Saccharomyces cerevisiae S288C: one gene and its partners. The main gene of each other region encodes a partner of the protein of the gene in region 3 in a complex. Each region holds a gene or a part of one and is shown on either strand. Other genes may lie near its edges. The genes, in order: TFB1, TFB5, SSL2 and RAD3. A codon is read from its position in the direction of its gene.

Region 1 (8,047 bases), on a different chromosome or scaffold from region 3:
CCATGCCTTGCAGAAAAAAAATAGCGACGTGGAATCGCCTCCATATAGAACTTGTAATGAGTGCTACGATAACCTCCTTCATTTAAATCTACTAGTATCCTCCACCAACAGAGATGTACGACTATCGCAAACTTCGGTACCACCAAATGCACTTGCACTTTCTGCACCAGATAGCAACACTGATGAAGACGCGGAAATCCTGGAAGATTCGGTAGATCAATCCGGTACGGCATGCAGGAGCGAAGAAAGTTCACAAAACGAGGAGGATCACTTCTGCCCTATTTGTAACTCAGATCTCACACAGTTTCCTGATGAAGAAGAGACCAGAAAGCACGTAGAGGATTGCATACAGAGAGCTGAAAATGCCCAACAACATACGAATACGTCAGATGCAGCAGATGACTCCGTAAAAGAAAGCCCTGCCTTTCAAAATAGAATGTTAGTGTACAAGATATCGCCTAATACAACAGATAATGCAATTAAGGAGTGCCCGATTTGTTTTGAGAATATGGAACCCGGTGAGAAAGTTGGGAGACTAGAATGCTTGTGTGTTTTCCATTATAAGTGTATTAAGAACTGGTTTCACAAAAGGGCGCAAATGACTGCAGCCCAGAAGGGAAATGGACATGCTTTTGTTAAAAGGAACTTTTGTCCTTTCCATGATGCCGTATTTTAACGATAACTCCCAATTTGCTTTTCATTACAAAGTTTAATTTTTCAGCTGTTAATAATCGAAGTTTTAACTTCCCTTTTCTTTTATTTTTTTCTTTAATTGTAAAAGATTTCTATATATTTGTTTAATTATGATCTTATATATTCATTAATATTTACTTTGAGGTGTTCCCTCACCTATGAATAAACAGACACTTCCTGGTTCTTTAAGTCCATCGGAGTCATGGCTACTATATGGATAGTGATGTTACGTACGGAGGATATATATACATATCGTGCATTATTCTACTTCACTGAATAAGTCACTATCCAAATCCTCTGGTACATCACTATAATGCTCATCTTCACTCGATGAAGATCCATCATCGCTCATTGCACCATCTTTCCCTTGACCTTCACCCTGTTCTTCTGCTCTAGCTTTTCTTCTTTCCAATTTACGTTGCTTTTTAGCATCTTTAACAGCCTTTTTTTTAGCAATGTTTTCTTCTTGTTCCTTTCTTCTTTGTTCCTTCAGCCTCATTTTTGCAGCGTGTCTCTTTTCTAAGGCTTTGATTTCTTCGCTTGATTTTTGAACAAATTCATGATGTAATACTTTACCTGAACAAATACCATCTTCTATTTTGACCAGTTTTAGAGTTAATCTTGGTCCTAATTCAGTCAGTTTGATAGCCTTCTTACGTGGAGTTGGTTGCGAATTTTCTGAAGGCTTAGGTTCCTCCATTTCCACATCTTCTTCTTCAATTCCTTTTTCACGTTCTTCGTTATCTGTCATTTTAACGGGTGTTTTTTGCGACAGCGAAGTTTGAGAATGTTTTGCCTTCACGTCCTGATTATCAACCACTCTCACAATAGCGTCATCTTCAATTTCAGATTCTGATGTATAGGCGCCTAAGTCATGATCTAATATCAAAGAAGAAATATCTTCTTTTCGATGCAAATTCGGCACTGTTTTACTTAGATTATTTTTGGCTTTATAAAGCCTTTTTAGATTTCTAGAGATCTCTACTTCTCGAATGTCAATAAAATAGTGGCGCATAGAAATTTCCCCCGTTTCTCTGTCTTTATTGATCATAAATATACGTTTGATAGAATTCAACGAAGTTCTTGCAGGATTCAGAGGTGGGAAAATATTCTGGAACATGGAAACAATAACCTTCTCCACGTTTACATCCTGATCGTCTTCATCAGATCTTTTCGATGTGGAAAACCCATTTAACACTAGCAATGGAGGATTTAATACATCATCATTATTTAACGATTTAGGTCTCTTCAAAAATTTTTTGATATCTCTACCCAGTGAATAGTCCAATACTTGAAAAGTAACAGTAGGACCTTGTGGAGTTCTAGCTATCTTTAGCGAGACATTTCCTGTTTTTTCAGATTGAGTGAACATGAAAAGATGCGTAACACCTAATGGGCCACACATAACAACAAAATCCTTCAGTTTATTGGACTTGCGCTCTTTTAGTTTTACGGCCGTATGCGGTTGCATGATCTGGCGAAAATCCTTTACTAATTGGTTTAGAGAATGGTTAGCCAATGAAGTTTGTCCCACTCTGATTACCATGGATTTAGGAATATCTCGTTCCTGCTCGGGTGTGATCTGCGCATGCGTTCTCTTTTTCTGCCTTCTTTTAGCCATTAGTTCCAAAATATCTAAGGTATGTGCGGGATGGTGACCTAGCAGCTGCAATTTAGTCGAATATTAGCTAGACTAGTTTATTTTGCCTATTTAATATCATTCATACAAGCCCGTCGATGAGATGCATCTACACTAAAAAATTGCAAAATCGTCCAAGATGATAGATAATGACTGAACTAACAGTCTGGAGTATTGCAAGTGCTTAGGTCTGTTTGGCAAAATTTTTGAAAATATTACTGAACCATTAGCAAGCTGTAATAGAACTAAAGCACCATTACTGATTTATTTTGACGAATCGTTTGCTAATTTTCAGCCACATCACATGCTGAAATATTTCCCGTTTGTTTCTTGTTTGTTTCACAAGCCATTCGCGCGCGTTTTCACGTTAAATGTTTTATTTACACGCACGGCTGCATCAGTGCAGCACAGCGTTAATCGAGTCCCGCGTTTTTCTATTGTTTACATAGAGACTAAAGACCAAAAAGGAAGAATACACACAATTAAGTTTTATGTAATATGTAACATGCAGTAAATAGATGAAAAATATGAATGTAAAAAGTGGTAACAACTGGAGAGCCTTTATATTTCTAGTTCGAATTGTTGTTATATTCGTTGAAGTACTCATCGTACTTATGAGTAGCCAAAGTAATGGAGTTCAAAACTGGCTTCAAATAGGCGGTACATGTGTTTGACATAGATTCACCATCACCATTAAGGACGTCTTGAAATAGCTCATTCAGCTTTTCAATACAGTCCTTCAAATGATTATAAAGTTTTTTGACGGTACTGGCTTGCTTTTGTTCACCGCTCTGAAAATGAATATAAAAGTGCTTTAGAAATTCACAGCACGTTGTGTGTAGCATTCTACAACTTTCTAATAGGTCTATTGGTAGGGTACTTTTCACCTCTAATTCATTTGCTTGAGAAGTGTTGTCGACAAAAGAGCCGAGTGCTGAATTAACATTGTTATGCTTAGCCTGTTTGGCGTTAATCTTGATTGCAGTTATGACTCTTTTATTGATCTTGTTGCTGACTTCGTTGTTAGGAACTACTTGGTTCAAGTCTAGCTTATTAATTAAATTATCCATGACCAATGACAACTGTTGTAACATTTGTTGATTAGAAACCTTCAAATCTGCATTCTTTATCGAGTCTGCCGAGCTTTTCGCATCGTTGTCGGTTGTCTTTTCATGTGCGTTCCTTTTCAGATGTATGATTGCATAGTTTGTCTTGTAGCTTTCGTTTAAGTCATCGATTTTCAGTTCATTTCTTTCATCATTATCTTCATCTTCCTCATCGTTTGTAATATTAGATTTGTTCTGTAGATTTGTCCTTGAATACTCATTCTTCAAAGCCATAATCATTTTTTCACTCAATCTATTCATACCCTTTAAGATGTCCACGGTACCATCGCTATTACCATTAATATCCACACCTGGCTGCATAGTGAAGTCGGGCCTGTTGCCTCGTACAACTGGGTCGTCCTGTATGTTACCATCTAAATCTATAATTTTTTTCACAGGATGCAATAGCATGTCATCATCTTTTCTGTCGAACTCTTGATCCAATGTCAAGTACCTGTCAATGATTACGTCACCTCTATCATTTTGCATGATCTTTTCACCCCTTAATTTTCTGAATAACTTCGAAGAGAAGAACCTTGCCCAGAACTCTGGTTCTTTGAAATTTTTGGGCACATTATCAGTGTAAGCTTTCTTTACAATTGGATAGTTCTCAAAAATATTCAAAATTTTTTCTCTTGACAAATTAACATTGACTTTGTTTTCCGATGAAGCCACCGGCTTGATAGTTGACAAAACGTTGTAAGGCCCAACTTTTTGAGAAGTAGATAAGGCAAAAGCCCTCAATAACGGAATTCTAGTTGACCAAAATTCAGATGGAGGCAAACCGGCGTTAATGACTGTTTCCTGAAAAACCTTCATTAGAACTTTGTTTCCTTTCAGTAAAGATTGCTGTAGCTTTAAATTGGTCAACAATTTTTCTTTAGAGAGAGAATCATCTAGTTTGGCTGTATTAATCAACGGAGCCCCATTATTCAATTGTGGTGTATCGAGATGTGGTGTGGGAGTCCCTGCAGTAACAGAAGAAGAGCTCATTGGTGTTTCTGTGTGTTGCGCAGACTCCTCTCTTCTTCTCTTTTCTTCGTAGATATCTGCATCTTTATACCGTGAGATGATTTGTTGAAGGGTCATCTTGATATTATCCATAACTGTTCTATTGTTAAACGAAAACATATGACGTTGCGGTTTGGGCACAACCTCATTTCCTTCGTTGTCTTTTCTCTTTTTTGACTCATCCACTTTCCCGATTAGCCTCAACATCATTTTTTCACTGGAAGCAGGGGTAGCTTGTAACTTGTCAATAGTGGATAAGACAACTGTGTGAACCTTGTCACCGTCCGTAGACCTCCATGTCAATTCTGCGGGTGAAACATCCTCATTTATGGCAATTATCCCAGAAACTTTCTCAAAAATGGCAGCTCCGGAATGTGACATTATGGTTTACTTTTATTTTTTCCCTACCCCTACCCTAGGTTAAATATTATTACTTTCACTGGGAAAGCTTATTATGCTAAATTTCAGTATTGTCTAAAAATTGCGTCAAAAACGAGCAGCCTTATCATGTCCCACGGGTTGTGGCTTTTCTAGTTTACTGTCGAATCATACTATCATTTTTAAAGATTGGTTTCCATTTTCGTTAGACCGATATCCATTACTTACACTCCTTTCATATCTTTCCCACGTGGCCTTAACTACGTTTACTAATACTTACTATGTAAGTCACAATTTCCATTAATTTGCGTCGTTCAACAAGATAAATTGCTGTAATTATATGACTGCGACGCGACGGCGACGTCAAATTTTTTTTTTTTTTCCTGAATGGAAAAGGGAAAGGACAACAAATGATGGCAAAATATTTCAGTTTGGATTCACAAGTTCTCCACTTGCATCCGCTATAGATAGCCACACTTGTTTCATTCAGCGCTTGTGATACCACGATTGTATCATTACTAGTGGCTTTAATTTTTTTTTTTTTTTCATCTATCCTTTTAATACCATTTGTGTTTGAAATAAACTGCTAAAAGAATTATACACAGGCATATTTTATCAAAAGTGTCAGCAAACAGAGCACAAGGGACTTGTTTAAAGTAGCTAAGTATCATAAAAATTTAGTCGCTAGTGGTATTATTGAGATCAAACGAAAAGTTTCATACATAATTAACAAAATTCGTTTGTTGCGGGGATGTCTGAGAACACCACAGCCCCTTCTGATAACATAACCAATGAACAGAGACTTCCGTCTGGACCCAAAGATGACGTAGATACGTTAGCACTTACCAGTGCTCAAAATCAAGCTAATAGTTTGAGGAAGCTAGATACAGATGCGAACGCTAAAGCTTTGCCATCCATCACAGACATACCAGTCAGTGATGATTCTGATATAAAACGACAAGTTGGCTCTGGTTTTGGTTCAAATCCGCTTCATATAAAAGATTCCGAGGCCTTTCCACATTCATCTATTGAAGCCCTAAAAGAGGGTATGGACAAAGTCACAAAACAATGCAACGATTTGAAGACGGCTTTGCTTTCCAAAGACACTTCCCTCACTGATTCTGTGCAGGATTTGTTTAACTCATTAAAAGTTTTATCACACAACCAATCAGTTTTGGAAAATAAGCTGGATGATGTCATGAAGAATCAAGTAAATACTGACATATTGGTCAATAATTTGAATGAACGATTGAACAAATTATCGACAATGTTGCAAAATACTTCGAAAGTAAATCACTCTAACCTTCTCATAGAAAATTCATCCAACAATACCAGTTCACAGCATAATACCTCTTCTTCTCGAAGGGGACCTGGCAGGCCAAGAAAAGATGCCTCGACCTCCACAATGAATAAGTTAGTGTCAAACGCAGCCTCGGTCAATCTCAAAAGTGCATCCAATCAGGGTGCTCCTTTCTCACCAGTAAATATTACTTTACCGACTGCCGTAGTACAAACGTCTAAATCCAAAAGGTATTTTGTGGAACCATCAACGAAACAAGAGTCGCTTTTATTATCTGCCCCTTCATCATCAAGAGATGATGCTGATATGTCCTTGACTTCCGTACCGCAAAGAACGAACAATGAAAATGGTAAAGAGCGACCATCCACTGCTAATTCTAGCTCCATCACACCAACACCTGTTACGCCGAACAACTTAATTCAAATCAAAAGAAAAAGAGGCAGGCCCCCAAAAAAGAGAACAGTGGAAACAATGATATCCAATTCCACGGATACGATAGATAAGTCAGATGCATCTAATCGGATTAAAAACGAGATTCCAATAAATTCCTTGCTTCCATCTTCCAAATTTCATCAAATACCATCATCTCCATCCAATCCTGTGTCACAACCGGCTCCGGTTCGGACTTCAAGGTCAGCCACACAAGAAATAGACATTAAAAGTTTAGAACTGGCCTCTCTAATTTCAACTAATGGTGATCCAAACGCAGAGGATTCGAATACTACTGATACTGTTCATAATAACGTGGAAGGAAAGGTAAATGTTGAAGAAAATAAAACCGAGAAGGAGAAAATAATAACCATCAAATCATCCAGCGAAAATAGTGGTAATAATACGACCAATAATAATAATACTGACAACGTCATTAAATTTTCAGCTAATTCAGATATCAATAGTGATATTCGCCGATTAATGGTTAACGATCAGTTTTCATTAAGTTATGACGCCAGCGGTAATATTACGGTCAAATTACCACCCGTTTCCTCTCCAGCAGCAGCAACAGCTGCCGCTGCTGCGGCGGTTACGTCAGAGATGAATAGACAACAAAGAGAATTAGATAAAAGACGTGATTCAAGGGAGAAAATGCTTGTTAATATGAAATATAACGATCGCGATAAAGCAAAGTCATTTATGGAGTCTAATAAGAAACTCTTAAAAGCAATGAAAGAAGAAGAGAGGAGGAAAAGAATGACTTCGATAATACATGATAATCACTTGAACTTAAATTTGAATGAGATCTCCACCCGTTCAAAGATAAAAAGTGCAGAAAAACCAACAACTAAAGGTTCTTCAATGTCGCCAAAACCAAGATCGGCCTCCATCAGCGGCATTTCAGACCACCAACAGGAAGGATATCAACCATTAGAGCAAGAAAAACTCGTCGATATTGACAATGAGGGCTCAAACGCAAACAGCGACTCTCTCAAGATGGGTCTAACCATATCCGCTGCCGATACGGTTCACAAAGTTGGAATACAGTCCATGCTAAATTCTGGGGAAGAGGCAATTACCAAGGAGAATGCAGAATATGAAAGAAAGACCCCGGGAGATGAAGAAACTACCACGTTCGTTCCATTAGAAAACTCACAACCTTCGGACACGATAAGGAAAAGAACAGCAGGCGATGACGGTGCATTGGATCAAACAGAGAATACGAGCATATCACCAAAGAAGAGACGCACAGAAGATCATACAAAAGGTGAAGAAGATGAGGGAGAAAGGGGTGTTGGTAATAGCGGAACGCTGGCCACCGTGGAGAATGTCTCAGGAGACATCTCCGCAGATTTATCCAAAGGTACTTCATCTATCCATAACGATACTGAGTCTGCTAACGATAGTAGCAATGGCAACGGAAACCTCGGTTTGGGTACAGAGTCACGCAATACATTGTTAACGGCAACTCCCATTGAATTAATCTGC
Region 2 (2,593 bases), on a different chromosome or scaffold from region 3:
TTCTTTCCATAAACCAATCGAAATGATCCTTCAATGATAACTCTTGAACCCTGATGGCATCGTTGGAACTTATCAAATAGTATTCTGGTGTTGTTTTATCTATATGTTTACCGAGGTGATAATCATTTATAGACAATTTTTCATAGTTTTTCATGATAACTTCATCATTATAGATTTCATCACCATTAAAAAGATCAACAATTTTTAATTCTGGAGCATTCCCTTTGGCTAATAAGTTTTCTGGCCGCTTGCTAAAATTCTTCCCCTCCTTCATATCTTCATCTATGGTTGCTTCCTCTTCAATATCTATATCAAAACCTAGGCATAATAACTGATCATCCTTAAACGATGCAAGCCCTGTAATCAACATTGACACAGTAAAATGGCATTCTAATTCAACTTTCTTATCAGGTGTCCCTCTAAAACTCGATGCAGCACTAGACAAGAGAGATCCGATGTTTGTCGTAGGGTTAAAATGACTCATATTATTACTTTGAGAATTAGAGTCACCGGATTTGATCGAATTTGAATCCTTGGTAAAGGAAACTTTAAATAGCCAAATATTAGATCCCCATCCGATAACGACACGATCACTTTCTAAAAAATGAACATGGGGTCTAAATAGATCTGGCCTTACATCCTGTACGTTAAAAATTCTGGAGGGGAATGGAATATTCAAAAGCTGTGATCTTGTAGGAACATCGCAAAATGTTATTCCATCATCATCCATCCATAATATAAGGTCACCCATAGTATAAATTCCCATGATAGGGCCCTTCATATCAGAGGATAGGTCATCTTTTCTTGTTTTTTTCTTTTTCTTCTTGTTTAAAACGATGTCGATTCTATTTCCTAGCCAATTTCTCTGAGATAGTACAACGTCGCCAGCCATTCCACCAGAAACAAACATTCTGGATGCTTGAAAATTTGAGTGCAACGCTACAGAGTTTATAGGTCTTTTGAAATCGTATTGTGTAATGTTTTGTGGATCATCCATCGATCCGATAATCACTGTCCCGTCAATAGATCCCGTAGCAAAATATTTTCCGTCAGTGTTAATACAAAGTATCGAAGATCTATGGCATTTGATGGTTTTAATGGGTTCGAACGCGCATGTAGTTAAGTGTAGAATGCCTGAGTGTGTACCAAATGCAAAAAAAGTATCACCAAATAAACATGAAGAGATCGAGTCTCGTTGAAAAAAGTTCTTCGGGAGTTGACTAATTCGTGTGTACTTCAATAAGGGGGGCTCATCTTCGTCATCCTCATCTTCATCATCGTCATCATCATCATCATCATCATCATCACCTGTTTCTGCATCCGTCGCACTTCCTGTTATTGTACTCTCATCTGTTCGAGAAGCTACTCCATTTTCCGCTTGTGATATGCAACTAACACTTTTTGTTGGTGAAGTTACATTAACGTCTTCCCTCTTATTATCAACATTATTCTCGTCAGAGATGGAATTACTCTCATCAATTGTTCGTTCGCCTGATTGTTGATCCAAAACAGAATCATTCTGATGATTATCTGTAGTCATTAATGTCTAATAGTAGGTATATACTCTTCGTTAAAATGCTTTTTTATTTTGCATATATATTTTACAACAGTCTCAATAGCCCTTTTAATTTTTCTTTTGTATCGTATTATTGAAAAAAGACGAGCAAACTGCAGTAAGATAGAAGTGTACTCCCAATAGAGACAAAGCCAAGATACTTTTGTAAAAGAACGAAAAAATGGCTAGAGCAAGAAAGGGTGCACTGGTTCAATGTGATCCATCCATCAAGGCGCTCATATTACAAATTGACGCCAAGATGAGTGATATAGTACTAGAGGAGTTGGATGACACCCATCTTTTAGTAAATCCCTCGAAAGTCGAATTTGTTAAGCATGAGCTAAATAGGCTATTATCTAAGAATATATATAATCCTATGGATGAAGAAGAAAATCAGTAATTATTGCTCATTCAGCTTTTTCAATACTATTTGAATAGAGCATGACCTGCATAACCAGGTCAGACATGAATATAGAGGGGAAGTGATGATCTAGTGGAAATACGACTATACAGGTATGTACATGTTAGAATAATAAATATAAGGAAGAAAAAGTGGTCAGGTGCAAGTATACATCTTTAACCGTTTTCTTTTCTCATCCTTTTTTGAGAGCCAAATCCCGTTTAATTTTTTCTTTTTCCTCCTCAAGGTCTAAACCAAACTCCTCTTGTATCTTTTTCTCCAACCTAAGCCTTTTCTCTAAACGTTCTTTTTTCATCCTTGCCAGTTCAGCTTTAATCTCATAAGGCTCTTTTGGTATTTGGTTCAACGTTGCAGGATCTGGCCAAAACCCTGGAACATTTAATTTTTTATCAGTATCTGTACCAATATAGTACATTACAGCAACAGGTGCTAGCAAACAAAATGAAAATCTAAAGATCTCCAGTTGCGCCCTTGTATATTTAAACTTGAAGTTATTAAATAGACCCATTTTGTACTTGTCGAAGTGATTACTTTTGTTTGTCAGCCCTTATTAAATTGTTATAGAACAGAAAATATCAGCAAGATGCGCTGATATATTGGAATTATACGGGAAAAAA
Region 3 (8,709 bases):
TGATACATGTTATTGATATAACAAGTAAATTTAAAATTAATATTCAATCGTCATTGGAAAACTCTGAAAACGAATTAGGAAACGTCATTGAAGAGTTACGAAATTTGGAGTTTGAAACTGAACATAACGTAACAAATTAATAAAATAAATGATATATAATACCCGAGCAATCTACAGCAAAGCTCAGCCCCACCTTTCCGCATTTTAATAACCTGCATTTTGTTCAATTCCACCCTCACTCCCCTTCTCAAGTATTCCAAACCAATTTAAGTAAGTATTGATATGTAGTTATTTTTAAAATAAATATATGTAAGTATATTTGGATGCTTTAATTAGGAATGTTCTATTTTTTTTTTATTTTTTATATTATGGAAGAAAATGGACGTGACGAATCAATAAAAGAAAGAACAGCGACGAAAGAATAAGAAGACGGTGGGAACAAAAAGGTATTATGACTGAATAGATTCAAAATAGGAAGGTGACAATGAAACCAAGCCTATTCACTTCTTCAAATTCTTATAATACATCTTTCTGATTAATGGATGATGTTCCTTCAGTTCTTTGTTTTTATTGGTACTGTATTCCATATATGCCATATCTTCACCGCCAGCAAGACCAGACAATGAACCTTCACCTCTAACGGCCTTTGATTTAAATCTTTTGTGGCCATTTGAACCTCTCCCAACAGAATTGTCAGCGTCATCACCGACCTCGATACCAGCAGCTTCTTCGTTCTTCAATAATACTTCTTGCAATAGCTCTCTACGTTCTCTGGGTGAAGCATATGCCAAATTTGGAATGTTCTCCATTCCGTGTAAATGTGTAATGACTTTGAATGCGTAACCTTGATCTACCAAAAACGCTTGTCTCTTTGTTGAGTAGTACATTTCTTGCGTATCCTTAGAAACCAGAGAATAAAAGAACGCATTGAAACCTTCGTCATTACGTCTTTTAGCTCTTAAAATTCTTCCTAATCTTTGGGCTTCTTGACGACGAGACCCATAGTGCGAAGATATTTGAATTAAACAGGTAGCTTCTGGTAAATCGATGGAAGTATCACCAACTTTTGATAGAAATATGGTATTGATTTGGTCATTGTACTGGAAATTTTGCAGAATGTTCATACGCTCTTGTTGTGGTGTGGAACCATAAATAAATGGTTTTCCCATTTTCAAAGCATATTCTTGTAAGGCGTAAACATTATCTGAAAAAACGATGATCTTATCACCCCTCCTTTCGTGATATTGAATTAAGAATTGGCATGCCTGAAACTTTGTTGGATTCATGATATACAGTAGCATTCTTTTCCTTGCAGTTTCTCTTAAATACTCTTGGTAAAATTCTGCTGTCATGGGACACCAAACCTCTGCACATTGGACATTTGCAATATGTCCTTTTTGGGATAATTCCATCCAATTTGCTTCATAAAGTTTTGGACCAATTAAAAAATTCAGATCACCAATTTTATCATCTTCTCTAACCAGCGTTGCGGTCAGTCCCAATTTGGCGTGTGCTGCGATGGTGGAGACCACCCTACGGAACATTGCGGCGGGCACCACATGAACTTCGTCAAGAATAATGAACCCCCATTCCCTACCGGTCAAGAAATCCATAACTTTTTGTGAATCATGAGACCTGTTTCTTGTGTTTGCCACCATTGAATAAGTGGAAACAACCAAACCGGATTCTGTCTGGAACATTTCCTTATTATCAGAGGTGAAAACAGCACAATTTTCAGGTTGTAAGGTACACCATTGTAAAAATTGCTGCCTCCATTGCATGACGGAGACTGATGAAGTACATAAAACAATTACGGATTTTTTTATAGTACATGCTGCGGTAATACCGACCAAAGTTTTACCTGCGCCACATGGCAAAACAATAATCCCTGAACGAGCACGCCCATTACCAAACATTTTACTCAGCGATTTTTCTTGATAGGGTCTGATTTGAGTGGAAGGTTTCAAATCAATATCTAAATCCGGGTTTCTATGGTCGTTTCTAAAGTCGTATTCTTCCAACACGGGATAATCGATTTCTTGACATCTTTTCTTTACGACTTCAACAGACTCATTGGCAATTTCAAAGGAGTGAACGGCATCAATATCATCATCTTCTTCTTCCCGCTCATTATCACCACCTATAACTGCACTAAACACGGCTTCCACATCGTTCGGATTAACATTAGTAGCGGGTTTTCCAGCGGTTTGCTGAAGTTGTTGCTGTAGTACATCCTCTGGTGGCTGTACTTGATGATCGCTATCTATTCTTAGGGGCCCGATGACGGAATCATTCAGCAACATTTGCAGAATATCTGCTTGTGTAGTCTCCACGAAATATCTATTATGCTTAATAACTAGTTTCACTTTACCGTATGAAATGGTAGCCCCTTTAATGAAGTTGATTATCGATTCAGCAACGGGTACTTTGGATAATCTATCCAGAACTGAAATGATATCATCCGTCTCCAACCCTACAGAAACAGCTGCATACAAAGAGTATGCTGTGATCTTGTATTCATGAATATGGGAGGGTCTACTTATAGGCTCTGCAATGGTGACCAGAAAGTCCTGAGCCTGTTCTGCTAATGGAGAGAAACTCTCCAGAATGATCCTACCGTCACTTGGCGAGATCCAAAGGGGCCTGGAAGCATGGTCTGGTCTTAACCGCAAATAACTAAAGTCATGGCTTCTGAACATTCCAGAGACGGAATCTGGAACGAAATCTGCTGGTATATCGCTATTAGTGTCCTGCAAAAGCGCTTTATCCTTAGCGTCCATTTGATTCATAGAGGAATCCGCCGCTGTATGCCTGCTACTCTTGGTCTTTTTCCGAGGCTTCTTCAACCCTGTTACCATGGCGCCGGTATCCCTTTCTCCACGTCCTTCTGACGTTTCCCTGTTATCATCATAGTTCTCATCGATCTCTGCATCAGTAGCTGGTGAATCCTCATCTGATGAGAAAAAGGACTCACCCATATCTGGAAAGATTTTCCCCTTGCTCTTAGGTTGGTAGCCTTCAACGTCCGTCATGATTTATCTTCCACTGATTCCAACGTCAGTAGATGCTACTTTTACTAAATAATGTAGATATCATTACTATTATCTATCCTTACTAAGGACCTTTTTCCTTATACTTCTTAGAAGAAAAACCTCGTTTCTAACGATCTGAAATTTTTTTCTCTTCGCGGTGGCGAGTTTAAAAGACAAGAGCAGAGCAATAAAAAAGAGGATGAAAGGTGGCCATTAAATAGGCAAGAAGAGTCAGTCGTACAAAGCTCAAAAGATTCAGGATGAGTGTACAGATATTTGGAGACCAGGTTACAGAAGAAAGAGCGGAAAACGCCCGTTTGTCGGCGTTTGTCGGTGCCATTGCCGTGGGTGATTTGGTGAAAAGCACATTAGGCCCAAAAGGGATGGATAAATTATTGCAAAGTGCGTCCAGTAACACTTGCATGGTAACAAACGATGGTGCTACGATTCTGAAGTCAATTCCGCTGGATAATCCCGCAGCCAAAGTGTTGGTGAACATCAGTAAGGTGCAGGATGACGAAGTTGGAGATGGTACCACTAGTGTTACTGTTTTGAGCGCAGAGTTGCTTAGAGAAGCAGAGAAGTTGATTGATCAATCCAAAATCCACCCTCAAACTATTATTGAAGGTTACCGACTAGCTTCAGCAGCCGCATTGGATGCGTTAACGAAAGCGGCTGTTGACAACTCTCATGATAAGACCATGTTCCGTGAAGATCTGATCCATATTGCCAAGACTACTTTATCTTCCAAAATTTTGTCTCAGGATAAGGATCACTTCGCAGAATTAGCAACTAATGCTATTTTGAGATTGAAGGGCTCCACTAACTTAGAACATATTCAGATCATTAAGATTCTTGGTGGAAAGCTATCAGATTCGTTCCTTGACGAAGGTTTCATTCTTGCCAAAAAATTTGGTAACAACCAACCCAAGAGAATTGAAAATGCTAAGATTCTAATCGCCAATACAACTTTGGATACAGACAAGGTCAAAATATTCGGCACCAAATTCAAAGTCGATTCTACTGCTAAATTGGCACAACTAGAAAAGGCAGAACGTGAAAAGATGAAGAATAAAATTGCCAAGATTTCCAAGTTTGGTATCAACACTTTCATCAATAGACAACTAATTTATGACTATCCAGAGCAATTATTTACAGATTTGGGCATAAACTCAATTGAGCATGCTGATTTTGAAGGTGTAGAAAGGCTCGCCCTGGTTACAGGCGGTGAGGTGGTGTCTACATTTGACGAGCCAAGTAAATGCAAACTGGGAGAATGTGACGTGATCGAGGAAATTATGCTTGGTGAACAGCCATTCTTGAAGTTTAGTGGTTGCAAAGCTGGTGAAGCTTGTACCATCGTCCTAAGAGGTGCTACCGACCAAACGCTTGATGAAGCTGAGAGATCCCTGCATGACGCATTGTCCGTGTTGTCACAGACCACAAAGGAAACAAGAACTGTTCTTGGCGGCGGTTGCGCCGAGATGGTCATGTCAAAAGCTGTGGACACCGAAGCTCAAAACATCGACGGAAAGAAGTCCCTTGCCGTGGAGGCTTTTGCCCGTGCTCTGAGACAACTGCCAACCATTTTGGCAGATAATGCTGGTTTTGACAGCAGCGAACTTGTGTCCAAACTAAGATCCTCCATATACAACGGTATCTCCACCTCAGGTTTAGATCTCAACAACGGAACCATTGCCGACATGAGACAGTTAGGTATCGTCGAGAGTTACAAGCTAAAACGAGCAGTAGTCAGCTCTGCATCTGAAGCCGCTGAAGTTCTACTAAGGGTGGATAACATCATCCGTGCAAGACCAAGAACCGCCAATAGACAACATATGTAACATATTTAGGATATACCTCGAAAATAATAAACCGCCACACTGTCATTATTATAATTAGAAACAGAACGCAAAAATTATCCACTATATAATTCAAAGACGCGAAAAAAAAAGAACAACGCGTCATAGAACTTTTGGCAATTCGCGTCACAAATAAATTTTGGCAACTTATGTTTCCTCTTCGAGCAGTACTCGAGCCCTGTCTCAAGAATGTAATAATACCCATCGTAGGTATGGTTAAAGATAGCATCTCCACAACCTCAAAGCTCCTTGCCGAGAGTCGCCCTCCTTTGTCGAGTAATTTTCACTTTTCATATGAGAACTTATTTTCTTATTCTTTACTCTCACATCCTGTAGTGATTGACACTGCAACAGCCACCATCACTAGAAGAACAGAACAATTACTTAATAGAAAAATTATATCTTCCTCGAAACGATTTCCTGCTTCCAACATCTACGTATATCAAGAAGCATTCACTTACCATGACACAGCTTCAGATTTCATTATTGCTGACAGCTACTATATCACTACTCCATCTAGTAGTGGCCACGCCCTATGAGGCATATCCTATCGGAAAACAATACCCCCCAGTGGCAAGAGTCAATGAATCGTTTACATTTCAAATTTCCAATGATACCTATAAATCGTCTGTAGACAAGACAGCTCAAATAACATACAATTGCTTCGACTTACCGAGCTGGCTTTCGTTTGACTCTAGTTCTAGAACGTTCTCAGGTGAACCTTCTTCTGACTTACTATCTGATGCGAACACCACGTTGTATTTCAATGTAATACTCGAGGGTACGGACTCTGCCGACAGCACGTCTTTGAACAATACATACCAATTTGTTGTTACAAACCGTCCATCCATCTCGCTATCGTCAGATTTCAATCTATTGGCGTTGTTAAAAAACTATGGTTATACTAACGGCAAAAACGCTCTGAAACTAGATCCTAATGAAGTCTTCAACGTGACTTTTGACCGTTCAATGTTCACTAACGAAGAATCCATTGTGTCGTATTACGGACGTTCTCAGTTGTATAATGCGCCGTTACCCAATTGGCTGTTCTTCGATTCTGGCGAGTTGAAGTTTACTGGGACGGCACCGGTGATAAACTCGGCGATTGCTCCAGAAACAAGCTACAGTTTTGTCATCATCGCTACAGACATTGAAGGATTTTCTGCCGTTGAGGTAGAATTCGAATTAGTCATCGGGGCTCACCAGTTAACTACCTCTATTCAAAATAGTTTGATAATCAACGTTACTGACACAGGTAACGTTTCATATGACTTACCTCTAAACTATGTTTATCTCGATGACGATCCTATTTCTTCTGATAAATTGGGTTCTATAAACTTATTGGATGCTCCAGACTGGGTGGCATTAGATAATGCTACCATTTCCGGGTCTGTCCCAGATGAATTACTCGGTAAGAACTCCAATCCTGCCAATTTTTCTGTGTCCATTTATGATACTTATGGTGATGTGATTTATTTCAACTTCGAAGTTGTCTCCACAACGGATTTGTTTGCCATTAGTTCTCTTCCCAATATTAACGCTACAAGGGGTGAATGGTTCTCCTACTATTTTTTGCCTTCTCAGTTTACAGACTACGTGAATACAAACGTTTCATTAGAGTTTACTAATTCAAGCCAAGACCATGACTGGGTGAAATTCCAATCATCTAATTTAACATTAGCTGGAGAAGTGCCCAAGAATTTCGACAAGCTTTCATTAGGTTTGAAAGCGAACCAAGGTTCACAATCTCAAGAGCTATATTTTAACATCATTGGCATGGATTCAAAGATAACTCACTCAAACCACAGTGCGAATGCAACGTCCACAAGAAGTTCTCACCACTCCACCTCAACAAGTTCTTACACATCTTCTACTTACACTGCAAAAATTTCTTCTACCTCCGCTGCTGCTACTTCTTCTGCTCCAGCAGCGCTGCCAGCAGCCAATAAAACTTCATCTCACAATAAAAAAGCAGTAGCAATTGCGTGCGGTGTTGCTATCCCATTAGGCGTTATCCTAGTAGCTCTCATTTGCTTCCTAATATTCTGGAGACGCAGAAGGGAAAATCCAGACGATGAAAACTTACCGCATGCTATTAGTGGACCTGATTTGAATAATCCTGCAAATAAACCAAATCAAGAAAACGCTACACCTTTGAACAACCCCTTTGATGATGATGCTTCCTCGTACGATGATACTTCAATAGCAAGAAGATTGGCTGCTTTGAACACTTTGAAATTGGATAACCACTCTGCCACTGAATCTGATATTTCCAGCGTGGATGAAAAGAGAGATTCTCTATCAGGTATGAATACATACAATGATCAGTTCCAATCCCAAAGTAAAGAAGAATTATTAGCAAAACCCCCAGTACAGCCTCCAGAGAGCCCGTTCTTTGACCCACAGAATAGGTCTTCTTCTGTGTATATGGATAGTGAACCAGCAGTAAATAAATCCTGGCGATATACTGGCAACCTGTCACCAGTCTCTGATATTGTCAGAGACAGTTACGGATCACAAAAAACTGTTGATACAGAAAAACTTTTCGATTTAGAAGCACCAGAGAAGGAAAAACGTACGTCAAGGGATGTCACTATGTCTTCACTGGACCCTTGGAACAGCAATATTAGCCCTTCTCCCGTAAGAAAATCAGTAACACCATCACCATATAACGTAACGAAGCATCGTAACCGCCACTTACAAAATATTCAAGACTCTCAAAGCGGTAAAAACGGAATCACTCCCACAACAATGTCAACTTCATCTTCTGACGATTTTGTTCCGGTTAAAGATGGTGAAAATTTTTGCTGGGTCCATAGCATGGAACCAGACAGAAGACCAAGTAAGAAAAGGTTAGTAGATTTTTCAAATAAGAGTAATGTCAATGTTGGTCAAGTTAAGGACATTCACGGACGCATCCCAGAAATGCTGTGATTATACGCAACGATATTTTGCTTAATTTTATTTTCCTGTTTTATTTTTTATTAGTGGTTTACAGATACCCTATATTTTATTTAGTTTTTATACTTAGAGACATTTAATTTTAATTCCATTCTTCAAATTTCATTTTTGCACTTAAAACAAAGATCCAAAAATGCTCTCGCCCTCTTCATATTGAGAATACACTCCATTCAAAATTTTGTCGTCACCGCTGATTAATTTTTCACTAAACTGATGAATAATCAAAGGCCCCACGTCAGAACCGACTAAAGAAGTGAGTTTTATTTTAGGAGGTTGAAAACCATTATTGTCTGGTAAATTTTCATCTTCTTGACATTTAACCCAGTTTGAATCCCTTTCAATTTCTGCTTTTTCCTCCAAACTATCGACCCTCCTGTTTCTGTCCAACTTATGTCCTAGTTCCAATTCGATCGCATTAATAACTGCTTCAAATGTTATTGTGTCATCGTTGACTTTAGGTAATTTCTCCAAATGCATAATCAAACTATTTAAGGAAGATCGGAATTCGTCGAACACTTCAGTTTCCGTAATGATCTGATCGTCTTTATCCACATGTTGTAATTCACTAAAATCTAAAACGTATTTTTCAATGCATAAATCGTTCTTTTTATTAATAATGCAGATGGAAAATCTGTAAACGTGCGTTAATTTAGAAAGAACATCCAGTATAAGTTCTTCTATATAGTCAATTAAAGCAGGATGCCTATTAATGGGAACGAACTGCGGCAAGTTGAATGACTGGTAAGTAGTGTAGTCGAATGACTGAGGTGGGTATACATTTCTATAAAATAAAATCAAATTAATGTAGCATTTTAAGTATACCCTCAGCCACTTCTCTACCCATCTATTCATAA
Region 4 (8,502 bases), on a different chromosome or scaffold from region 3:
CGCACCCTGAAAGACCAAATCACAAGACAGCAAATAGAATACTCAAAAAGGAATCTCCTGTCGAGACATCAAAATCAAATCTTATACTTTCAAAGGTTGCATCCACTCGCCAAGAGGATTCTTTTACAAGCCGAAATGACGATCTGGACAAAGAACAAGGCTCTTCTCCATTAAACTCTAAGTTTGCGCCCGAAGAAATCGTGTTATCAGGTAAGAACAAGATTTATATTTGTAAGGAATGCCAAAGAAAGTTCTCTTCTGGTCACCATCTTACAAGACACAAAAAATCCGTCCACTCTGGTGAGAAACCTCATTCTTGTCCCAAATGTGGCAAAAGATTTAAAAGGAGAGATCACGTTCTGCAGCACTTGAATAAGAAAATACCGTGTATTTCAAACGAAACAACAGTAGATGCTCCAATAATGAACCCTACAGTGCAACCGCAGGACGGGAAAGCGGCCATTAATCAACAGAGTACACCTTTAAACTGACTCACGATTGCCAGTTGTTTACCGAGATCTCTCATTTTGAAGGCTCTTAAAATGTGCTCGGTCGGCCGGGAATTCGCGAAAACCCACATTCACTAATAAATACCATTACAATAACCATCATTATATAGATACACATGTGTAGAAAAGGATAATATACGTATATATATTTGTTTGTAAATCTTTAAATTTTCAGGAACAGGGTTAGCAAGCATCAATGAAAGCAGACGCGAAACAAATAACACATCTACTCAAACCTCTTCGACTTTTATTATTGGGGGCTCCAGGGTCAGGTAAAGGGACACAGACTTCGAGATTACTAAAGCAAATTCCACAATTATCTTCAATTTCGTCAGGCGACATTTTACGTCAGGAAATAAAATCTGAATCTACCCTAGGCCGAGAGGCTACTACCTACATTGCTCAAGGCAAGTTATTACCGGATGATCTCATAACGCGTCTGATAACTTTTCGTCTTTCGGCATTGGGTTGGTTAAAACCATCTGCCATGTGGTTGCTCGATGGATTTCCTCGAACTACTGCGCAAGCTTCTGCCTTAGACGAGCTGCTGAAACAGCATGACGCCAGCTTGAATCTAGTGGTAGAGCTAGATGTACCCGAATCCACCATATTAGAAAGGATCGAGAACAGATATGTTCACGTTCCTAGTGGGAGAGTGTATAACTTACAATATAATCCTCCCAAAGTGCCAGGATTAGACGATATCACCGGAGAACCATTGACCAAGAGGCTTGATGACACAGCGGAAGTGTTTAAAAAAAGGCTAGAAGAGTACAAGAAAACAAATGAGCCTTTAAAAGATTATTACAAAAAAAGTGGGATTTTTGGTACCGTCTCTGGGGAAACATCAGATATTATCTTCCGAAATTATTGAACCTTATAACCAGCAAATTCGGCTAATAGGGTGATTTAACGCTACACTAACTGCAAGTATATGTTAACCTTCCCCGAGACTTTGAAAAACCGTGACTCTAGTTGGAAGTCAGCATCTCGTCAACCAAATGATTACAGTTCACTTTGAATATTCTGAATAGCCTTTATGATATGAGTTAATCCTATATTAATCATGGCCGACGGCATTTAAGCGATGTATATGAAATTTATGAAAAATTAAAGTAGCGTACTTTATGCTACATAGCTTTTGAAAAGAAATCTCTGGTCTGTAAATAATAAATAAATATATATATATGTATATCTTAAAGTTGACAAAGTACTGTTAGCCATTCATAGAAATACTATATTTCATCTTGGGTTGAAGGTGATAATCGGCCCGATTTGACTACACTTTAAGAAGATTGGAAACAATGAAGTTTTATATAGATGATTTACCAGTGCTTTTTCCATACCCCAAGATATATCCAGAGCAGTATAATTATATGTGCGATATTAAAAAGACTCTGGATGTAGGTGGAAATAGTATCTTGGAGATGCCTTCAGGAACAGGTAAAACGGTCTCATTACTATCCCTCACAATTGCCTACCAGATGCACTACCCAGAACATAGAAAGATCATATATTGTTCTCGTACTATGTCTGAAATTGAAAAAGCTTTAGTAGAGTTAGAGAACCTTATGGATTACAGAACTAAAGAACTAGGCTATCAAGAGGATTTTCGAGGTCTTGGCTTGACATCAAGAAAAAATTTGTGTTTGCATCCCGAAGTGAGTAAGGAACGAAAAGGTACAGTAGTCGATGAAAAGTGCCGTAGAATGACAAATGGGCAGGCGAAGAGAAAATTAGAAGAGGATCCAGAGGCAAATGTAGAATTGTGTGAATACCATGAGAATTTGTACAATATTGAAGTAGAGGATTATCTTCCAAAAGGCGTATTTTCTTTTGAAAAACTTTTGAAATACTGCGAAGAAAAAACACTTTGTCCATATTTTATTGTTCGTCGTATGATTTCTCTTTGTAACATTATTATTTATTCTTACCATTATCTATTAGATCCTAAAATTGCTGAAAGAGTTTCCAACGAGGTTTCTAAAGATAGCATTGTCATTTTTGATGAAGCGCACAATATTGATAATGTGTGTATCGAATCGCTGTCATTAGACTTGACAACGGATGCATTGAGAAGAGCCACACGAGGTGCTAATGCGTTAGATGAACGTATTTCTGAGGTCAGAAAGGTTGACTCACAGAAATTACAGGATGAATACGAAAAACTAGTTCAAGGTCTCCATTCTGCAGATATTCTTACCGACCAGGAAGAGCCATTTGTGGAAACACCTGTATTGCCCCAAGATCTTCTAACAGAAGCAATCCCGGGAAATATACGAAGAGCCGAGCATTTTGTTTCATTTTTGAAAAGATTGATAGAATATCTGAAGACCAGAATGAAAGTTCTTCACGTTATTTCAGAAACGCCAAAATCATTTCTACAGCATTTAAAACAGTTAACTTTCATAGAAAGGAAACCTCTTCGGTTTTGCTCAGAAAGGCTATCATTACTTGTAAGAACTTTAGAAGTTACAGAGGTAGAAGATTTTACTGCATTGAAAGACATAGCAACTTTTGCTACTCTTATATCAACATATGAGGAAGGGTTTTTACTAATTATTGAACCGTATGAAATCGAAAATGCTGCAGTTCCGAATCCGATTATGAGATTTACTTGCTTAGATGCATCGATTGCCATCAAACCAGTCTTTGAGAGATTTTCTTCCGTTATTATCACTTCAGGGACCATATCACCATTAGACATGTATCCAAGAATGTTAAACTTTAAAACTGTTTTACAAAAATCATATGCCATGACCTTAGCCAAAAAATCATTTCTACCAATGATTATTACCAAGGGTTCTGATCAAGTTGCAATTTCTTCAAGATTTGAAATCAGAAACGATCCTAGTATTGTTCGTAATTACGGTTCTATGCTAGTAGAGTTTGCCAAGATCACACCTGATGGAATGGTTGTTTTTTTCCCCTCATATCTATATATGGAAAGTATTGTTTCAATGTGGCAAACAATGGGTATTCTTGACGAAGTTTGGAAACATAAATTAATTTTAGTTGAGACTCCTGATGCTCAAGAAACTTCTTTAGCCTTAGAAACCTATAGAAAGGCTTGCTCAAATGGGCGTGGGGCAATTTTGCTTTCTGTTGCTAGAGGAAAGGTATCTGAAGGTATCGATTTTGATCATCAATATGGCAGAACTGTGCTGATGATAGGTATCCCGTTTCAATACACAGAATCGCGTATTTTGAAAGCTCGCCTAGAATTCATGAGGGAGAACTATCGCATCAGAGAAAACGACTTCTTATCTTTCGATGCGATGAGACATGCAGCTCAATGTCTGGGGAGAGTACTGAGAGGGAAGGACGACTATGGTGTAATGGTACTAGCAGACCGTAGGTTTTCAAGAAAAAGAAGCCAGTTACCAAAATGGATTGCTCAAGGTTTGTCTGACGCCGATTTGAACCTTTCGACTGACATGGCCATATCCAATACCAAACAATTCTTGAGAACAATGGCACAACCCACAGACCCTAAAGACCAAGAGGGTGTATCTGTTTGGAGTTATGAAGATTTAATAAAGCACCAGAATAGCAGAAAAGATCAAGGTGGATTTATTGAAAACGAAAACAAAGAAGGAGAACAGGATGAAGATGAAGATGAAGATATAGAAATGCAGTGATGCAATGATACGCTTTTGCTATAAACTGTATATATCACAATTAGATTAAATAGCCGCAAGAGAATGTTATATATTGAAATCCATTCGATTATCCAGGACTAAACAATGATTTTATTTCACATTTATTTCAAAGGACAACTCTTTATCTGCGTCAAGATATGAATCACAGACACACCAAATTGTTAAGTTATGTTTACCAGATGTCGGAGTGTCAAATTCCAATTCATATTGCTGAGTCTCTTTATTTAAAGTAACTTTCTTGATCGCATAAAGCTCTTTTTTAGATACTTCACCTAAAACCAACCACCAACTTTCTAGCTTATCAAACGGATACTTTTCAGATGTTACTTGTAAGTTCTCAGGTTCAACATCTCTTGTCAATTGAATGGTAATTTTCTGTTTTACACCTGAAATTAACGAATCAGAATTATTCAACGAATAAGTAAGTTCAACGTTGGGGTAATTGTTAACAAACGCGGCGACCTGCGCAAGCTGTGAATCAGTAAGCGTTAAAATTTCATCCCTCTCTTCATCCTCAAGGGCCATTATATCATAGACCGTCTCGACGTTAATTTCTTTACATTTTTCCAAAATTTTGTTGTTGAAGTGTGGAATCTGTCTCAACGGATTATCAACGTCCCATACACCCTGAATCAACATCTGCGCCAAATCCATGGCGGTAGTAGCATTCAAATACCCGTTTGCTGAAAGGATATCAACCACTACGTTAATTAGTGGAACAACCTTTTCTAGAATGTCTTTTAAATCATTTTGAAAGTCGACAGGTAATTCAAGACGTGAAAAATATGCTTGTAACAATAAGAAAACTTTAAAGCTCACCGAACCAGAAGAGGTGTGTTCAGGGAATCTCAATGGTAGTCTTTTACTTAATTTGACAAGTAATGCTCTGTCTCCTTTTCTGAGTGGAACACTTTCGAATTCTACTGCTGTTGAAAGAACATACAGCATGTTTTTGAGCGTTGACGTATTCGATAAAGAAGAAACGAATGACTGAATAGTAAAAAATGATACGCCATAGTGAGAAGCAATTAGCCCGTTGCTCAAGGTAGAAATGATTTCAGTTGCTTCATCATCTCCTCCATTAACTTCTGCGGTTACTTCAGCTTCTGTATCGTCAATTTCAATGAAGGATGATTCAACTAAGTCATTCAAACAAGTTTCAACTAAATTACTCAAAAAAACTGAAATTCCATGTGGAGACGTATCCCTTACGCCATAATAGCTTGGATTCACATGGATACGACGATAGAAATACGAATATGTAAACCAGTCAACACAATCTTGTTTGCTTTGTATAATAGAATTTGCTATCTCGTTGTTCAGAGTATCATGAATAATATACTGTAGGTAACTCTCAGTAGGCAAAGGCTCAATTAAGAATTTTTTGTAGTAGGCCTTCATGTTGTGACTTGTCAAAATTAAAACCTTGCCTGCCATTGAATCGTTACCACTAGCTAGTCCCACCATTTCTAGAAGTTCATTTATGGTATATGGCATATATTTATGCTCTGCACCATCATAAAGGTTGGTTCCTAAAATAATCACTTCATCAGTTTTACAAGCGAATGCAGAACAATCCTTAGAAATGAGTAAAACCGATACCGCACCATATTCGTATAACCTTTTCACAATTCTTTCATCATTTGATGCCATCCCCTTATACAAAATACCAACACCGTGTTTTAAAGGTGCTCTTAGATGACCATCTGTTAACTTTTCAATGTATGGTACAATTTGCTCTTCTTCAACGTTCAACATATCCCATTCAATTGCTTTTGAAAACTTCATAAATGCAGACGCAACTTCCATACAATCCTTTCTAGATGGTAAGAACACCGAACTGGAATTACGATTTCCCGCTGCAGCAGCAGATGCTTCAAATGCCATTTGAAGCATCGAAAAATTGAATGATATGTGCTCAACATCTTTAAATGACTGAATATTAATTTCAAGAGGCTCAATTCTTTCGCTTGGAGAAAAGTTGTAGATGTTTGACTTCGTCATACCAGCCCATTCACCAAAATCACGAGCATTTGCCAAACAGTTCGAAAGGCAAACAAATCGAATTTTCTTTTCAAGTTGGGTTGCTATAAATATCATTCTAGAAATTAGCGTTTCATACACAGCACCGTAAACACCTTGGCTAATCTCATGAGCGTCATCATATATCATTAATTCTAAACTTTGGATGTTCTTCCTTTGTCTCCAACGACGTGACAAAAGCTCAAATTGCACGGGGGTAGCCAAGAGAACATGGCTTTTTGCTAATAATTTTAAATTTAGTGAAGGATCATTTCCTAGCTTATTTATTATCTTACCACCAGCAAGATGAGAGAACCTTTTATTCCAATCAGATAGCAAAAAATCAATTTTTTCCCCAGACGGATTGATATAAACCGCTCTTCCTTTATTCTGTCTCCAATGATTTAACAGTGCTAATTCAGCCATAGCTGTTTTACCTGTGCCCTTTCCTGAACCTACAAAGACCGAGTCATTCGAATTGTAGAGAGACTCGAAGACCTGGCTCTGAATCTTGTTGAAAGTTTTAAATTCAAATACTTCGGAAAAATCATCATTGCCAAGCTCTGATGTTGAAATACTAATATTCTCCAGAAGGGGAGTAGGAGGAGGAAATTTTTTCGGAAGTTTAAATCCATTGAAGGAAACTGGAATCTCGAATTCACTGTGCCACCAATTTTCTGATATCAAAGTAAGGAAGAAATTAGGTGGTAAGTTATTTTGATTGTGCTGCTTTAACTCATAAGTAAAGGATAAGGTAAATTCATGACCAACTATATCTGGAGTGATGAATAGTACGTCATAATAAAGTATTGAATCACCATCAGTGTCTTCTAGCATGAGCAAAAAAGGTTCAAGGGAACCGTGTACATTCATATCCCATATCCAGTCGGCTATTATTTCAATGTTGAACCTCATAACGCTACGGGTAATTGGCTGAGCGTTGCATGTTACGGACATTTTGGGAAATCTTTTCAATAAATCGTAAACCTGTTTTCCATATTTTTCAGATCTGATTGCACGACCAACTTCGGCAGGTGTTTCTAGCTGTAGATAATCTCCCCACGGTACTGTAGAGGCTTCCAGCCTTTTAATCACTTCGACAGGGCATGTTTTAAACTGTCTTAAAGGACAGTTTGTTGGCCACATTTTAGTTGTGGCAGATTTGCAAAGATTTAACAACATCCGTGTGGGATGTCCCCATCCTCTCTTCAAGCATATTTCAAACATAGCACGCAATAACCTACCAGCATTTTGGTGAATAAACACTATATCAGAATTAAGTGCAAAACCTTCGAACTTTAGCTGGGAAAAATAAGACTGCAGTAGTACATTCACTTTTGCTAAAGGATCATCAATATCTTCTCTGATAGGAATGGGTGCTTTCTCTAGAAGTTGTTTTAGTTCTCTTTTCTCTTCATATCTCACCGATACGTACTTAAACTCTTCCGACATTGAGAATATTCTAAAAAGATCAATCTGAGTTGTATGTTCATCTAACTCTCTATTGTAAACATCCATGGAAGCATGATTTATGTAAAATGACGACGCTATATTTCCTAGATCGGTCGCCTCAATTACATCATTTTCAGCATCATATAACACCAACTCTTGTTCTTTTAAAATGCATAGGGCCGAATGGACTAAGCTTTCTCTAAACTTTTTCAATTGCCCATCACTTGAAATATCAGGTACTTTGTAAAGCATAGGGGAAGCTAACATTCTGACATATAGGTAAGTATACGCCAACCAATTCACAGCATCATTCCTGCACTTAATGTTACCCGCGACAACTTCTGCATTTAAGTTGTCAACTAATTTTGAAACAAATTGCGATTCTATTGGTAATTGTTGATTTAAAACCGAGAGATAATATTGAACATTCGATTGGTCTGTTATTATAATACCCTCGCCAAATGTGTCATATCTCGGTCTGCCTGCTCTACCTAACATTTGAAGTACATCTTGTGGAGAAAGTTGTTCCCAGGACCCCTTTTCAGGTGAATAGACATCTGTTCCTTTTATAATCACTGTATGAGCAGGTAGATTAACACCCCATGCTAACGTCGCAGTGCATACCAATACTTGCAACAACCCGTCTGCAAATAAATCTTCAGATAAGGATCTGTCACTTCTGGTCAGCCCTGCGTGATGCGTCCCTATACCGCTTTCAATCAACTTTCGTAGACTTGGATCGAGTACGTTGGCTGCTTCTGTCTTTAAAATCTGCTTCGATCCTGCATCATTTTTGGTTAATTTATGAGTAATGTTCTCTTCAGCAAATTTATTTTTCAACCATGTTGCTGTTCGTG

Evidence for each region.
Region 1: SSL2 (region 3) and TFB1 share a complex: the UniProt entries of both Saccharomyces cerevisiae proteins name them as parts of the 7-subunit TFIIH core complex.
Region 2: the proteins of SSL2 (region 3) and TFB5 are in contact, whole or in part, in a cryo-EM structure (PDB 7K01), measured with the Saccharomyces cerevisiae proteins. Residues at the interface, in NP_012123.1 of Saccharomyces cerevisiae: Met561 (codon at 1,352), Ala563 (codon at 1,346), Tyr569 (codon at 1,328), Leu570 (codon at 1,325), Tyr717 (codon at 884), Tyr718 (codon at 881); in NP_076886.3 of Saccharomyces cerevisiae: Asp13 (codon at 1,773), Ser15 (codon at 1,779), Ile16 (codon at 1,782), Asn61 (codon at 1,917), Ile62 (codon at 1,920), Met66 (codon at 1,932), Asp67 (codon at 1,935).
Region 4: SSL2 (region 3) and RAD3 share a complex: the UniProt entries of both Saccharomyces cerevisiae proteins name them as parts of the 7-subunit TFIIH core complex.

Annotation. Positions count from the first base shown.
Region 1 is NC_001136.10:1,081,848-1,089,894, reverse strand, and holds TFB1 (TFIIH/NER complex subunit TFB1), read right to left. Parts: upstream 4,831-8,047; coding exon 2,902-4,830; downstream 1-2,901. Other genes in the region: PIB1 (phosphatidylinositol-3-phosphate-binding ubiquitin-protein ligase), read left to right, coding at 1-676; SSF2 (rRNA-binding ribosome biosynthesis protein), read right to left, coding at 953-2,314; SUM1 (Sum1p), read left to right, coding at 5,579-8,047. UniProt on the Saccharomyces cerevisiae protein: Component of the general transcription and DNA repair factor IIH (TFIIH) core complex, which is involved in general and transcription-coupled nucleotide excision repair (NER) of damaged DNA and, when complexed to TFIIK, in RNA transcription by RNA polymerase II.
Region 2 is NC_001136.10:602,955-605,547, reverse strand, and holds TFB5 (TFIIH complex subunit TFB5), read left to right. Parts: upstream 1-1,736; coding exon 1,737-1,955; downstream 1,956-2,593. Other genes in the region: VPS41 (Vps41p), read right to left, coding at 1-1,540; PET100 (Pet100p), read right to left, coding at 2,149-2,484. UniProt on the Saccharomyces cerevisiae protein: Component of the general transcription and DNA repair factor IIH (TFIIH) core complex, which is involved in general and transcription-coupled nucleotide excision repair (NER) of damaged DNA and, when complexed to TFIIK, in RNA transcription by RNA polymerase II.
Region 3 is NC_001141.2:80,010-88,718, forward strand, and holds SSL2 (TFIIH/NER complex ATPase/helicase subunit SSL2), read right to left. Parts: upstream 3,033-8,709; coding exon 501-3,032; downstream 1-500. Other genes in the region: kinetochore-associated Ndc80 complex subunit NDC80, read left to right, coding at 1-140; chaperonin-containing T-complex subunit CCT2, read left to right, coding at 3,293-4,876; AXL2 (Axl2p), read left to right, coding at 5,357-7,828; REV7 (Rev7p), read right to left, coding at 7,970-8,707. UniProt on the Saccharomyces cerevisiae protein: ATP-dependent DNA translocase. Component of the general transcription and DNA repair factor IIH (TFIIH) core complex. When complexed to CDK-activating kinase (CAK), involved in RNA transcription by RNA polymerase II.
Region 4 is NC_001137.3:525,269-533,770, forward strand, and holds RAD3 (TFIIH/NER complex ATP-dependent 5'-3' DNA helicase subunit RAD3), read left to right. Parts: upstream 1-1,813; coding exon 1,814-4,150; downstream 4,151-8,502. Other genes in the region: RPH1 (Rph1p), read left to right, coding at 1-491; adenylate kinase ADK2, read left to right, coding at 706-1,383; ATP-dependent RNA helicase BRR2, read right to left, coding at 4,262-8,502. UniProt on the Saccharomyces cerevisiae protein: ATP-dependent 5'-3' DNA helicase.